Oryctolagus cuniculus: one gene and its partner. The protein of the gene in region 2 purifies or fractionates together with the protein of the main gene of each other region. This does not show direct contact. Links are inferred from orthologs where the notes say so. Each region holds a gene or a part of one and is shown on either strand. Other genes may lie near its edges.

Evidence for each region. Proteins that work in one complex are often made in the same cells at the same time.
Region 1: the proteins of DNAJC7 (region 2) and VPS13C purify together in Homo sapiens (co-immunoprecipitation; 4 studies listed by BioGRID and IntAct, counting the BioPlex papers as one, with this or other methods). This does not show direct contact. The link is inferred for Oryctolagus cuniculus from reciprocal best matches to the Homo sapiens genes DNAJC7 and VPS13C.

The regions. Positions count from the first base shown.
Region 1 is NC_091443.1:85,081,354-85,088,955, reverse strand, and holds the start of VPS13C (intermembrane lipid transfer protein VPS13C), read left to right. Parts: upstream 1-3,039; 5' UTR 3,040-3,168; coding exon 3,169-3,268; intron 3,269-7,602. UniProt on the Homo sapiens protein: Mediates the transfer of lipids between membranes at organelle contact sites. Necessary for proper mitochondrial function and maintenance of mitochondrial transmembrane potential.
Region 2 is NC_091448.1:20,736,785-20,744,535, reverse strand, and holds the start of DNAJC7 (dnaJ homolog subfamily C member 7), read right to left. Parts: upstream 4,281-7,751; 5' UTR 2,802-4,280; coding exon 2,725-2,801; intron 1-2,724. Other genes in the region: NKIRAS2 (NF-kappa-B inhibitor-interacting Ras-like protein 2), read left to right, coding at 7,316-7,409, 7,661-7,751. UniProt on the Homo sapiens protein: Acts as a co-chaperone regulating the molecular chaperones HSP70 and HSP90 in folding of steroid receptors, such as the glucocorticoid receptor and the progesterone receptor.

The DNA.
Region 1 (7,602 bases), on a different chromosome or scaffold from region 2:
CAAACAGACAAGTCTGGACCAGGCGGAAGCCAAGAACTCCATCCTGGTCTGCTCTGTGGGCGGAAGAGACCCCAGCACTTGGGCCATCATCTGCTGCCTTCCTAAACTCATTAGCAGGGAGCTGGATTGGAAGTGGGGCAGTCAGGACTGGAAGCAGCACTGATACAGATGCCAGCCAGCATCCTAAGCTTAATCCACTGTACCACAATGCTGTCCCCTGTACTAAAAATTTTTAGCTTACTTTTCTGAGGGATGTTTTATTCTGCCATTATTCAGAGTGATATTTCTGAGAAATAGTAGCCCAGCTGTGATTAAATGTAATTACTGAAAGAGAAAATATGACAGTGCTCGGGGAAGCAATGAACAGTTGCTGTGTGCTTTAGGGTAAGTCATTTAACACTCCTGAGCTTAAGTTTTCTATAGAGTGTGGACAATACCACCTGCATTACTTACCTCACAGGTCTTTTTGTGATCTGTGTAATATGCCTGCGTTGGCATATTGGTAAGATTATTGCTCATGAGGTGGAACTGAAAGATAAAATTCAGGTTAAGTATTCCTAATACAAAATGCTCTGAAATCTGAAACCTTTTGAGTGCCAACATGACAGTCAAAAGACCTTTAGATTAGGTCTTGCAGCATTTCAGTTTTTTGTTAGAGAACTTTGGTGAAGTCTATGTAATTATTTCACTACCCCCCAAATGCCAAAATCTGAAACACTTCTGGTCCCAACCAGTTTTGGATAAAGGATACTCAGCCTGTAAAACGAAATGAGGCATATAAAAAGCACATTTATATATTTATGCTTTCAATTATCACACAGGCATTAATAGAGCTTATGTCTCCCACTAGATGATGCCATCCCACTGCCCAGACCAGGCTATGAGGCCTGTACCATCTCCTGCATGGTTATGGTATTGTTACTCACACATCCTTGCATTGGTTTTCCTTAAGCTTTTTTTTTTTTTTTTCCTGAAGCTTTTACACATGCCTTATTGCGACCAGAAGAGTTTCTTTACACTTGCCTCTGTGCAGAGAAAGTGTGAATGTAAAAGGCTGGGAGATTGCTAGGGAGTATCAGTAGAAATAACTTGGGGACACATTCAAGAGGGAATTCTGAACACTGGCAAGTTCCAGTATTTTTTAAATTTATTTACTTGAAAGTCAGAGTTACACAGAGAGAAGAAGTAGAGAGAGAGAGAGAGAGAGAGAGAAAGAGAGAGAGAGAGAGAGAGAGAGAGAGAGAGAGAGAGAGAAATCCTCCATCCACTGGTTCATTCCCCAGTTTGCTGAAATGGCCAGAGCTGTGCTGATTAGAAGTCAGGAGCCAGGAGCTTCTTCAGGGTCTTCCACGCATGTGTAGGGGCCCAAGGACTTGGACCATCTTCCACTGCTTTCCCAGGCCACAGCGGAGAGCTGGACTGGAAGAGGAACACCTGGGACCCAGTATGTTCTTGAGCAGGTGACTAAGTTGAGGTCAGGTGTGCTTTGGGAAACTAATTCTGATGTCAGCATGAACAAGGCAAATCTGGAGACTGGGAGAACCATCAGGGTGACTGCATGGTATAGGGAAGATATGAGAATTGGAAAAACAGAATAGATAGGTATGGCAGTCAATGCGTTGTGTGTCAAAGTGTCCCCTAACTGGGCGGTGCTGTGGTGTAGTGGTGAAGCCACTGCCTGCAGTGCTGGCATCCCATATGGGTACCGGTTGCAGACCCAGCTGCTCCACTTACAATCTGCTGTGGCCTGGGAAAGCAGTAGAAGACGGCCCTAGTGCTTGGGCCCCTGCATCCATATGGGAGACCCAGAATAAGCTCCTGGATCCTGATTGGTGCAGCTCTTGTTGCTGCCAAGTGGGGAGTGAACCAGCAGATGGAAGATATCTCTCTCTCTCTCTCTCCTCTTTCTGTGCAACTCTTTCGGATAAATAAATCTTTAAAAAAAAAAAAAAGTGCCTCCTAGGTATTTGTGTTAGTGGAAAAACAAATAGTTAAGGATTTCCCCCCCACTGTGGCAGGAGTGAAAGAGGAGGTGGATATTTATAAACCTGTTAATACTCTGGTTCCTTCTTTATTGTGTTTTTCCATCTCCAACACTTTCAGGAAATGTTCTATTTGATCCTGTAGAAGCCGATTTAAACAACAATACAGCCTTTCTCTTTCAGATCTACCCTAGCAAAGCATTTAATAAATCCTGTGTCTATGTTCAGCATTTCTTAGTTTCTGTTTACTGTCGCTCCACAGTTTTTTTGAAACAAATTTTAGAAAAAAATTTCCAGGGGGTGGTTGCATTTCACCACAGTTCCAGGACTTTGCGGGTACACGAGCTGCGCTTTGAATGGCTCGCCGGCCCAGGGACAGTTCCATGCCAGCATAGAAGAAAGTGACATAAATAACGGCTAACCCGCACTCACAGGGGAGAAGGAAAAAAAAAAAAAAAAAAAAAAAAGGGAAGTGCTCTGGTCTGCGAAGTAGCAGCTCTGGAAAGGGCTGAATCCGCAACTACCCCTGAGCAGTCCCCAAACGGTCTTCCATCTGGATGCGGCTCCGCTCCGCCTCCTCACCCCTTAGTAAGGTGTGTGTTCCAGAAGCCGAAGGCCGCGGAGACCTTGCCGCAGGCGGAGGGCAAAGTCGCAGGACAGGAAGCCGGGGTCTCCTTTAGTTTGCTTAGGAGACGCCCAGCGTGGGCAGCCGCGCACGCCGGCTCCGGGCAAGGCTCCCGGGGTGGCCTTCGCTCCGGCAGGGCAGTGACCTCCTCTGGCCCTAGGTCAGCAGTAGGTGACCGAGGGCTCGCAGAGCGGCCCCGTAGATGTCCAGGCGCCTAGGAACGCCTGCGCGCCCTTTTCCTTCCCGAATGTTCTCTGTGTCCTATAGGCCGCCCGGGAACAGCTGCTAAAGCGGGCCCTTAAACCAGCTTCCCCGGGGGCTCCAGCTGGCGGGGCCTGCTGCACCCCCGAGGCCGCGGCGCCCGGCCGGGGCCCACGCACTTCTGGCGCGCCGGCGGCGGCGGCGGCGGCGGCGGCAACGCGCCTGCGCACATTCGGGGTCACGCGCGCGGCGCGGGGGCGGGCTGGCGCCGGAGGGGCTGTCATTCGCGGCTCGGGTCGCCGCCCTTCGCTGCGCCCAGTGGGTTCCGGCTCCTCCTCCTCCCTCCGCCTCAGCCCCACCATGGTGCTGGAGTCGGTGGTCGCGGACCTGCTGAACCGTTTCCTGGGGGACTACGTGGAGAACCTGAACAAGTCGCAGCTGAAGCTGGGGATCTGGGGCGGTGAGTTGAGAGGGGCGCGGCCGGCGGCCGCGGAGGGGCCCACGCCGAGGGCTGCAGCGGGGGTCCGGTGCTCTCCACCCGCCGGGGACTCCAGCTCCGGAGCGTGTCAGGTGCGGGGCGCGGGGCGCGGGGCGCCTCTGTCCGCTTGTGTCTCCCGCAGCTTCCCGGGACTCCCAGGTCGCGGGGAGATGCTGCGGGGTCACGCCCGCGCTGTCCAGATTCCCACCTTCCCTGTCCCTCCGGTCCTGGGGTCCGTGCCTCTGCCTTGCTCTGCCCTGCCCACCTCGGGGGTCCTCCCGTTGCGTTCTGCCCGGCCCCTTTAGCGCCACAGCCTTACCAAAAAAAACCAACACCAAAAAAACCAAAAACCATTTCTGCGTGCGTCTCGGTGGAGTGACCACAGCTTCGTGACCATGGCCCAATAAAGTGGCACCCAGGAAGAAGAAGAGGAAGGTTGCCTCCCTGTTGTCTTCTTGGTAACAGGCACTGCAGGGTTTGAGAGGGGAGAGACGGGAAGAGCCTTCAGAAAGGCGTGCCCGTAGGGATTCCTACTGTTAATGCTTTTAGCTTTTGAAGAAGTCATTTCTTAATACTTTTCTCTTAACGTGAAGAGGCTTTCAGTTTTGTTTTGGAAGGATAGAAATTCAAGCCGTGACCAGCATCATCGTTAATTAGGTGCCTGCTTGGTTGCATGCCCAGGAATTCGTGCCAACGTTTTTTATCCTGGAGATTAAGTGGGGAAAGCTAGACAGTCAGTAGTATGTTTGCTTATCCTGCAAAGAGCTAAATTAGTTGCTTGAATTAACGTGTTAAGGTTTGGGGATATTGGATACTTTCTCACTCTAAAAAAGTTTGGCGGATTTTGTCACCTTTGGAGAGAAACCAAAACAACTGTTTAAATGAATGAAACTGCCTTTAATTGATCAAGCAGTAGTTACATACCTGTGCTGTTCATTAGCGGCCACTAACCACTGTAGCTAGTGAGCACTTGCAGTGTGTGGATCTTTTGAATTGCGATATTCTACAAGCATAAAAAGCACAACGCTTTTGAATACGTTTATTTCTTTTAATGAAATGGGGGAAGTGTAATATTAATAACTTTTGTTGCGATGAGAATATTTGTATTGGGTTAAGTTAAATGTATTATTGAAACCCATTTGCCCTCTTTCTACTGTTTTTTTGGTGTGACTCTTAAACTTTGTAATTATAAAATTTGTAATTATACGCGTGGAGCATGTTTATGTTGAGCCGTACTGTAACAGAACCGTGAATGCTGCCAGGAACTGTGGAGAGGACCCAGGTCCCTGATCATATGATTGGTTCACGGTGGTTTGTCCAACAATGCATAACTTTGTTTACTCTTTCCTCCCACCACTAAATACAATGCAAAAGGAAGGGAAGTGAAGACAGACCTTTACAAATTAAATATCCAGTACCTTTTGGGGAGATCAAGGGTTTCTTTGGAATATTGGCAATGTTACCACATATTCCTTGTGGTCAGTAAATGTATTGAAATATGTGAAAGCCAAGGGTTACCAAATCTGCAATCTGAGAAAGCATTGGGTTTTGGACCTGGTAGGTTGCTGTGTTGGACAAATCATTTACTTTACTCACCTTAGTTTCTTCCTCTTAGTTTATGCTTCGTTAGTTTATTTCCCAGCAGATACTTGGCAAAGTCAGATATTTCTTGCTTGTCACATTGAGAGATGTGTGCTGCTGGTACGTACTGGATAGAGCTAGTGACACCACACTGTAAACGTCCTCGTATGCAGACAGCAGCTCTTTGCAGCAAAGAATTGTTCAGCCTTAAGTGTTAGTTGAGAAACCCTGCTCTAAGGAGAATACTCTTCTGCTTTAAGAGGGGGCCTTCTGGGTGTTGAACCAACTATCATAAGGAGTAAATAAAGGACTTAGGGAGTATGTTGCTCTTATGAAATGTATAACTTGAGAGAGAGAAGTCTTTTTTTTTTTTAAAGATTTATTTATTTATTTATTTGACAGAGTTACAGACAGTGAGAGAGAGAAAAAGAGAGAGAGAGAGAAAGGTCTTCCTTCTGCTGGTTCACCCCCACAAATGGCTGCTACTGCCGGTGCTGTGCCTATCTGAAGCCAGGAGCCAGGTGCTTCCTCTTGGTCTCCCATGCGGGTGCAGGGGCCCAAGCACTTGGGCCATCCTCCACTGCACTCCTGGGCCACAGCAGAGAGCTGGAGTGGAAGAGGAACAACCAGGACTAGAACCTGGCGTCCATATGGGATGCCAGCGCCACAGGTGGAGGATTAACCAAGTGAGCCACAGTGCCGGGCCCAAGAGAGAAGTCTTAGGAAGTGACTGAAAGTTATCAAGTTGGTAAGAATGCATGATCTTTGGGTAATCTCAGGAAGTTGCTTACCATTCAGAATACTGTAACATGATTTGAAAAATGCACACATTCATACATGTATAGGCACTGGCAATGAAATCTGCAATAGGCAAAAATTATTCAAATGGCAAGAATCAGAAATGTTGCCTTTATTTAATTGTATTTTTAAAATGTTTTATTTAGAGGTTGGCACTATGGCATAGCAGGTAAAGCTGCCGCCTGCAGTGCCAGCATCTCATGTGGGTGCCGGTTTGAGTCCCGACTGCTCCACTTCTGATCCGGCTCTCTGCTGTGGCCTGGGAAAGCAGTAGAAGGTGGCACAAGTCCTTGGGCCGCTTCACCCACGCAGAAGAAGCTCCTGGCTCCTGGCTTCAGATCAGCCCAACTCTGGCCATTGCAGCCATCTCGGGAGTGAACCAGTGGATGGAAGACTTCTCTCTTTCTTTCTGCCTCTGCCTCTGTGTAACTGTCTTTCAAATAAATAAATAAATCTAAAAAAAATTTAAATGTTTTATTTATTTATTTGAAAGGCAGAGTGATGACTGTGTGGAGGGAGGGAGAAGGAGAAAGGAAGGGAGAGAGAGCAACAGGGAGAGATCTTCCCAATTGCTGGTTTGCTCCCCAAATCCCCGTAATGGCTTGGGCTGTGCCAGGCTGAAGCCAGGAACCCTGAACTCCAGCTTGGTCTCCTGTCTGGGTGGCAGGGATCTAAGTGCTTGGATATCACCTGCTGCCTCTCAGGGCGTGCATTTGCAGGAAGCAGAGCAGGGACTCCAACCTAGGCACTCTAATACGGGACATTTGCCTGCCACGCAGTGTCTTAACTGCTGTTCCCAACACCCACCCCCCAGATAGTGCCTTTAAGTTGGAGCTGAGAAAAACAAACAAAACAGCTGCCATCTTTTTTCCTGTTTCTACTTTTTTTTTTCTTTTAAAGATTTATTTATTTATTTGAAAGGCAGAGTTACAGAGAGGCAGAGGCACAGAGAGAGAGAGATCTTCCATCCACAGGTTTACTCGCCAAATGGCTGCAACGGCCGGAGCTGCACTGATCCGAAGCCAGGAGTCAGGAGCTTCTTCTGGGTCTCCCACACCGGTGCAGGAGCCCAAGGACTTGGGCCGTTTTCTTCTGCTTTCCCAGACCATAGCAGAGAGCGGGATTGGAAGTGGAGCAGCTGGGACCTGAACCGGTGCCCATTTGGGATGCTGGTGTTACAGGCGGCTGCTTTACCCACTATGCCACAGCGCCAGCCCCAAAATATTTTAATTCTTTAAGTCTCCATCTCCTAATATGCAGAAAGGATGTGTAACATGGTATTTATGATTTAAATGATATGAAAATTCTTTATATTTGTTAATAATGCAGTACTGATGATAAACCTTGCAAAATGATGGAAAAAAAGCCTATTTTGTTTTATTTTGCTTTCATAAGTATGCTTCTTCTACCTTCAGCCTTTGGGAGTTTTATATCGTATATAGAGTGACAATTTTGTGTAGAGTTAACATTAAGTATATAAACATTTCTTATTTTACAAACAGATTTCTTAAAGGACAAAAAAAGCTTTTTGAATTTGAGTTTATGCTGAGACTACTTCTGTTACCTGCCAGCCAGTTTGTACATCAGGTTTTGAAAGGCTCAAAGTGCCTGGTACACATGTGCTGCCTACGCAGGCAGGCAGGATTATCTGGGTTTTTGTCTCCCAGAGACTGGTAGCAGGAGATAAATTGCATAGCCCTCAGCTATTTGCAAGGCGTCCAATATGTAATTGTTTTTGAGAGTCACACATTTGAGAAGGTATGTTGAAATGCTGTATCTTTTGTAATTTGGTTTAAGTAGTATTGTTGGATCACAGACCTTTGTCAGTTTGATTTTTCAGTGATTTGCTGTGGAAGGGCAGGAGAAGCCTCCACTCAGAACTCTGTTGTTCTCACTTGCATTGTACAGGTGGAATAAACACAGAGGCCATGATGTGC
Region 2 (7,751 bases):
GACGCAGCGGCAGCAGCAGGATGCACTCGAGCCCAGAGGGGAGAAAGGAAGGACTCAGGACCATCGATTCTCGTGTCCCCAAGGGAACTGCTTAGGAGGCCCCAACAAGACAGACAGGAACTTGGTCAAATAACTCTCACCAAGCCAGAAGGAAAGGCCTCTGGGAGGGATGTTCCCATGCCTGCCTCTGCTGTGGCCACAGGAAACACCAAACCCGTGACCCCAGACCCTGCAGAGCTAACCTCCACCCCATCTCCAGCACTGGAAAACTGAGACAAGGATTTTTCACACCACAAGACTCCTTCTTTAAAAAAAAAAAAAAAGATTTTTAAAAATTTATTTGGAAGACAGAGTTACAGAGAAAGAGAGAGACATAGAGAGAGATCTTCCATCCGTTGGTTCACTCCCCAAATGTCCCCAACAGCAGGAGGCAGGCCCATTCGAAGCCAGGAGCTTCTTCTGGGTCTTCCCCGTGAGTGCAGGGGCCCAAGGACTTGGGCTATTCTCCACTGCCTTCCCAGGCAATCAGCAGGGAGCTGGACTGGAAGTAGAACAGCTGGGACTCGAACCAGTGCCCATATGGGACGCCAGCATTGCAGGCAGAGCTTTAACCCTCGGCACCACTGCACCAGCCCCCACAAAATCCCTTCTGCAGATGCTGTTTGTGGCAGAAAGCCACTGAATTATTTAATTCACTTAGTTTCCTTTTTATTTGTGCTTGGAAGTGCTACACAATAAACATGTTTTATCATATCTAAAAGAGCTCTATAGAAATAAATGTAGCATACAAATATAGTAAAAATGCATTTTCATAGTTTACAGTTGAATTTTTGTTAGCGGCAAATAAAATAGCTGGGCGTTTTACAATCAGTGACATCTTAAATTCATGAAATAAGGCACTTAACAGATGTCAACACTGATTTAGGTATACTGCTACCAAACCCCATAAACTGTACAACACATTCACACTACAGTTTTACCTCTTTTGTACAGGTATAATCTTCAATTTGGCTTACCAAAATTCTATAATGGGTCATACTCTAAGCTCTAAGACTGTGATTTTTCTTTTTCTTTTTTTTTTCCTGAGAGGCGGAGATAAAGACACAGAGAAGAAAGGTCCTATCAGCTCGTTCACTCCTGGCAGGGAACCAGGAGCTCAATTTAGGTCTCCTCCGTGGGTGGCAGAACTCCCTTCCCGAACCATCACCACCTGATTCCCAGGGTCTGCACTAGCCGGAAGCTGAGGGCTGGAGCCGGGCTGGGCGCACACTCAGGCACTCCAAGAAGGGCTGCAGGTGTCTCAACTGCCGGGCTAGACGCCTGCTCCCAAGGCTGCGCTCTTTTAAAGGGAAAGGACCGGCTTTAAAGCAAAACCCAGATTAGGGACACTCCGAACACCAGAGACTCACCCTGCGTAGGATGAGGTTTTTCCAGGACACAGTTCCGATTTACAACGCAAAGAACCACTAAACTTTCCAAGTACAAGTAAAGCAGTTTCTTACAGTTAATTTGAGAGCTGGGAGAGGTCTGTTGTATCGCTAAATACCAGAAAAGCAGGTAGCGCCACGAAAACTCAGATTTTGGACTGAGATTCGCTGCCTTTTCTGCTACCCCTGGAAGCCACTGCACGCTGTCAGGCCCTTCGGCTTCCGGCAGGTCAGAAACCGGACTACGACCGGCGGACTGCTCTCGGGCTTGAGCTCTGCGAGATCCGGGAACTCGTAACTCCTCCGTTTCTCACTTGCTGGACGGTAGAAACAAACCTCAGAAGCCTGATTTCAGATCTCATGAAATAACCCCAAACCACGTCAAAGCACCTGGCGGGCGGTGAAAGGGGCTGAGCGCCCGGTGGCCGCCCGGCAGCGGGTGAGGAGAGGCCCCCGAGCTTCCAGAAGCTTTTTCGTCGACTCTGCTGTAGGGTCAGAACACGTGTGACTGCCCACAACTGCGTCCCAACCCCACTTCCAGCACGCTGCCTTAGCTGCGGCCGGGATCCCGAGTGTTCTGGAAAACCACTCACTCAGCAGCTCCCCGGCCAGTCGGGGCTGGCAGCTGCCAGCCACTGCGGCTGCCCAGCAATGCCAACGGCGCCGGGCAGCGGCCCCCTCCTTGCCGCCGAACTTTGAGTGAGCACCTCGGCCAGGAAGGGTGGGGGAAGAGGGGTCTGACACGGGACACAAGCCCCCCACCCCCCTTCCTTCTGGCTCTAGCATGTCCGCCTTCTGAGGAAACCAGGGGTCGACCCGCTCAATCCCGCACTCCCACGTCCGCCTGGGACCCCGTGTTCACCAGGCTCTAATTACCGGGGGCAAGCGGGTGAGGAGACGCAAAGCGCAGACAGACAATGCCCACGGGCCGGCCCGAGGAGGCAGGGGTCGAGGGCGAAGTAAGGAAGTCGTCGCCGACGCCGCGCCGCCTCCCCCACCCCTCAGACCGACGCGGTGCCCCTCAGACACCCAGCCGCCACAATCAGGGCTTTATTCTCCTCTAAGTGGAGGATCCAGGCCGCGTCTCGGCTCCCCCGCCAGGCGGAAGCGGTGGGGGGGAGGCCGACCCCGGGAGCACCCTTCAGGGGGTCCACCGGGACTTGATCCCAGGTGCAGGGGGGGCTCGCGGAGGGCGGGGCATTGTCTCAACAGCTGGGGGCTGCATCCCGGCAGGGACAGGCTTCCGCGAGCCACAGGGCCGAGGCTCGCCCCCTCCGTGACCTCGCCACCCGGTTACCTCTTCGCTTCCTCGTCGTCCAGCAGCTCTGGCTCGGTCGCCGCCATTACCACATCGCACTCCGCGGCAGCCGCCATCTTACCGCCGGGACCAGAGAGCCGGGTGGGAGGCAGGCGGTGAAGAGCACTTCCGGTCGGAGCATCGAGCCGCTCAGCGGCGCTGCACCCAGAGGGGCTCCCTCGGGCCCGTCTACCAACGAGAGGCTCCGCTTGGGGCCAGAGCGGCCTCCCGCTCCCGGAGGTCCACGGTGGTCTCCGCGCCGGGGCGGGAGCCCAGGGACGGTTCCTGTGCGTAGGGGGCGCCACTTTACCCGTCTGTAGGAAGGGGGTGGTTACAAGGAGGATGTCGTCTCTCTAGGCTTTGGCGTGCCTCAGTAGTCCGACAGCCTCGTTGCCATAGCAACCTGCAGTCCTAGAGCGTCTCCCGGGAGGCTCCAGAGAGACTGGGGTGCGTGGGGACCGGGTTACCCAGACTCTGGGAGGGAGGACCTCCCACTGCTGCCTTCCCACTCTTGGAGTGTGTCCACCGCTTCCTCCCGGGAAAGGCGAGACACTTCGAGCCCGGTCTGCTCAGCTTTCATCGGTCCCGGGAAGCCCTGCCCAACCAAGCCAGGGAACGCAGGGCGTCTGCACCCCGCGCCTTTCATCCCCCGGGATCTCCAAGCACCAACTGGTTCATCAGCCTAATGACGCTGCCCTTTTTATGAGGCCGCTTTCAAGTCAGCCGCCTGGGAGTGCCATCTCAGCATTAAGCCCAGGGAGGCTGGCATGGCGAGGCGCCCGGGACCCTGCCCTGGAGTTTATAAGGCCGCTCATGGGGTGGGGTCTCCGTGGCCCCATGCCCCCATCTCATAAACGCTGCTCGGCACGCCGGTCCGGCCCAGTGCAGTCTGCGCTGGGGACGGCAGAGCAAGGGATACGAGCATTGTTGGAGCTGCATTAAATGGGGGCTTTCTGAGGCTATACTTGAAGGCGCAGAGGACCTAAGATAAGAGAGAGGCAGAGGAACTTAGGGCGAATCTGTCCCCTCCCTCCAGGAAACCAGCATGCGCCACAGTCCCTTTCGGCATGGTATCCTGCCCACCGCAGTGCTGAGGGGGCTGGAGAGGCCCGGTGGCTGGGAGGGGAGCGGCGTCCACCTAGCTAACCATCCAGTGGCTCTTTCCTCAATGCCCGCGCTGTGCAGCGCTGGGGACCCCGAGACCTGCTCCACACCTGCCCTGGTGGCTCGGTCCACAGTCCAGTTCAGAAGCCCACCCCTCTGGCCGGCGCTGCGGCTCACTAGGCTAAACCTCCGCCTGAGGCGCCGGCACCCCGAGTTCTAGTCCCGATTGCTCCTCTCTGCTGTGGCCCGGGAGTGCAGTGGAGGATGGCCCAAGTGCCCAAGTGCTTGGGCCCTGCACCCGCATGGGAGACCAGGAGGTGGCACCTGGCTCCTGGCCTCGGATTGGCGCAGTGCACGGGCCATGGCATCCATTTGGGGGTGAACAAATGGAAGACCTTTCTCTCTGTCTCTCTCACTGTCTAACTCTGTCAAATTAAAAAAAAAAAAAAAAAGAAGAAGCCCACCTGTCTTTGACCCTCTTCCTACTTTATGTTCTGAGCCAAATCAGTCGTTCCCACAGCTTTGAGTTGACGACTCTCAACTCCTGTCATCACTGCCCCAGTCTTCCGGGTTCCAGGCCTGGATACCCAACCATCTGCTGGGTATTTCTTGGGTGTTTCACAAATCCTCATGGATTTTTCTATTTATTTTTGAGAGACAGACTTCCCATCCGCTGGGTCACGCCCAATGCCCACAACAGGTGTGACTGAAGCCAGGAGCCGGGAACTCAATCCGGGTCTCCCACGTGGGTGGCAGGAGCTTAATTACTTGAGTCATCACTGCTGCCTCCCAGGGTCTGCACCCGAAGCAGGGCTCAGCAGCTGGGACCGGGACTCGAACCCAGGCACTCAGATAAGGGATGCTAGCTTTTTTCACCACTGGGCTAAACCTGCTCCCAGAATGGCCTCCTTAGAAACAGAAAAAAACAGACCATGTCAGTCCAGGGGCATAAAACCTACCAAAGGCTTCCCACTGCTGAGTTCAGTCTTCCACCAACCGCTAAGGCGTCCGGTGACTTGGCTTCTTCCCACGATCAGTGTCGAAGCACCTGTACTTAAGGAAATGGCACGGCTCCGGCTGCGGCTCCGAGGCCCCACAACACCCTCTCCCGCCAGGTCCCTCAAGGATCCACACGGGCGGGACCTCCTCCGCAAAGTCCTCACGGCCGACGCCTTTGGCTGTGCCCCGTGGCACCTCTGCGACAGCACCCACCATGCCGCACTCTGCCTGCTGGTTTATTTAGACGGCTAGCTCTGGACAGCGAAACGCGTCTGCTCTGTCCAGCACGTGGGCCAGCGCAGGTGCTCAGGAGACGCCTGACGAGCGAAGGAGTGGTCGGAGCGCTGGCTGTGCTGTGGCAGCCTTTAGAGCGAGAACGTGTGGGCCTCAGAGATGCCACACGGCGGCCCGCGTCCAACAAGCCCCAGGACCTTGGAATCTGGCGCGGAGGCAGGCCAGGCTCTGTCTGGCCGCCATCCTCCCGCCGGCCTGTCGGGGGCGCTGTGGGCCGCCGCCCGTTCGCCGCCGCCGGAACTCGCCTCGCCGGGCGGAAGCTGCGGGGGCGGGGCCCAACGGAGCGGACGTCTTGCCCCGAGGTAGAGGGGACAGCCTGCGGCCCTGCTGCCGCCCCTCGGCTGGGCTCTGGGCGCTCTCGGGGACCCGGCCGGGGATCTGCGCGCGGGGGCTGGGGGCCCGGGAGGGACGGGGCTGGGAGGCGGGGTCGTCCGACGCCGGGGTTGGCCTCCGCCCCGCGGCGCTCTTGGTGGCAGGTGTCTGCCTGTGCTGGCCTCTGTCCTAGGGAAATCTGCCGGGAAGGGGGTCTTTATCAGGAGCTTCTCCTACAGAGAATCCTGTTTGAGACCCTGTCTGGGAGTGATCTTTGCTCTCCGAGGTCGGGGGGTGGGGCATTTTGGAGCCGAGAGCTCTTGTCCTCCCGGGGCCTCTAGGTCTGGGCCTTCCCTTTGGGTCGGTCAGTCCAGGGCAGCACAGTGAATGGTGGGTCAGTCAAGGGCAGCACAGTGAATCTCCTTCCCGAAGCCTTTTCTCCGTAGATTGCTTCAGTCTTATGTCTGTTTTTAAAACTATGTGTTATTTATTTGAAAGGTAGGGAGACTCAACAGAAATCTCCCCTCCACTAATTGGTTCCCCAAATGCCCACAGGAGCCTGGGACTCCATCCAGGTCTCCCATGTGGGTGGCAGGGACGCGAGTACCTCAGCCATCACCTGCCTTCCACCGTGTGCGTTAGCAGGAAGCTAGAATTTGGAGTGGAAGCAGGACTCCAACCAGGCACTCAGATAGGAGTTGCGGGTGTCCCAAGTGATGGCTTCTTTTTACTGAATTTTTTTTTTAAGATTTTTATTTATTTGAGGGGGCCAGTACTGGCACAGTGGGTTAGAGCCCTGTTCTGCAGTGTGGGCATTCCATATGGGCGTGGGTTCAAGTCCCCGCTGCTCCTGCTCCAATCCAGCTCTCTGCTGTGGCCTGGGAAAGCAGTGGAGGATGGCCCAAGTCCTTGGGCCCCTGCACCTGTGTGAGAGACCCAGAAGAAGCTCCTGGCTTCTGGCTTTGGATCAGCTCAGCCCTGGCTGTTGTGGCCATTTGGTAGTGAACCAGAGGATGGAAGACCTCTCTCTCTGGCTCTACCTCTCTTTATAACTCTTTCAAGTAAATAAAATAAATTTTTAAAAAAAATTTTATTTACTTGAAAGAGCTCTCCCACCCAGTGGTTCACTCCCCAGATGGCTGTAATGGCTGGAGCTGGGCCAGGATGAAGCCAGGAGCCTGAGACTCCATCCAGGTCTCCCACGTGGGCGGCAGGGGCCCAAGCACTTGTCTTTGGGTGCAGTGGAGCAGCTGGGATTTGAACTGGGGCTCATGTGGGATGCTGGCTTTGCAGCCAGTGGCCTATCCCGCTGTAGCACAAGACACCCCCAAGTGGTGTCTTAATGACTGCTAAATGCCTGTGCTTCCCGGCTCCGTGTCTTGTCTGATGTGCCTCATCCTGGCCATGAGCTTCCCTGGAGGTTAGAGGGGATTGAGCGTTGTCCACGTGCGTCATACAGGAAGGCCAGTCAGCTTCCGTGTTTGCTCACTGCCCAAGGAGCAGGTGCTGCAGCCTGTTCCTCCCAGGTCTCTGGCAGACAGGAAGCTGGCGGAGCTCCTTCAGGGCCCGTCCTCTCCCCTGCCTGTGCTTCCCCTGACCGGTGACTCTCTTCTCCCCTTGTGGCCATGGCTGCCGAGCACCTGCTCTGGCCCGGTGCCGGTTATGCACCGAGAATAACAGAGGCATCCATGCCGCTTACTGGCTAGTAGTGCACGCAGGTGCATCAGCGCGCCGGGCCCTGGCTGCGGTGGGGTGGTGCCAAGCCCCTGAGGCCACTCATTGCAGCTCCGACTCCCAGACATGGGAGGTCTGCCCTGGGTTCTGAACTTCCCTTCCCTCACCTCACCCAGGGTTCTGCAAACCGCAGGGCTGAAGGCCGAGCATGGGGAAGAGCTGCAAGGTGGTCGTGTGCGGCCAGGCGTCTGTGGGCAAGACCTCCATCCTGGAGCAGCTGCTGTACGGGAACCATGTGGTGGGTGAGTGGCGTTAGCAGACACGGGTGTGGTGGAAGACGCCGGAGAATAAGGAGCAGGGAGCAGAGCACACGAAGGCTCAGAGCGGTTTTTATACCTTGCACAGTGAAACCCCCAGTCCAACAACAGAACAGCTAGGGAGGCTGGGCATGACTGCCCATTCCCCGAGACCACCCAGCCCTGCCAGGCGCTCCGTTCCCTGGCCGCGACCCGCCCCCCTCCCACCTCCAGCACGATCTCTCATTCTGTCCCAGGCTCTGAGATGATCGAGACGCAGGAAGACATCTACGTGGGTTCCATTGAGACGGACCGGGGCGTGCGGGAGCAGGTGCGCTTCTACGACAC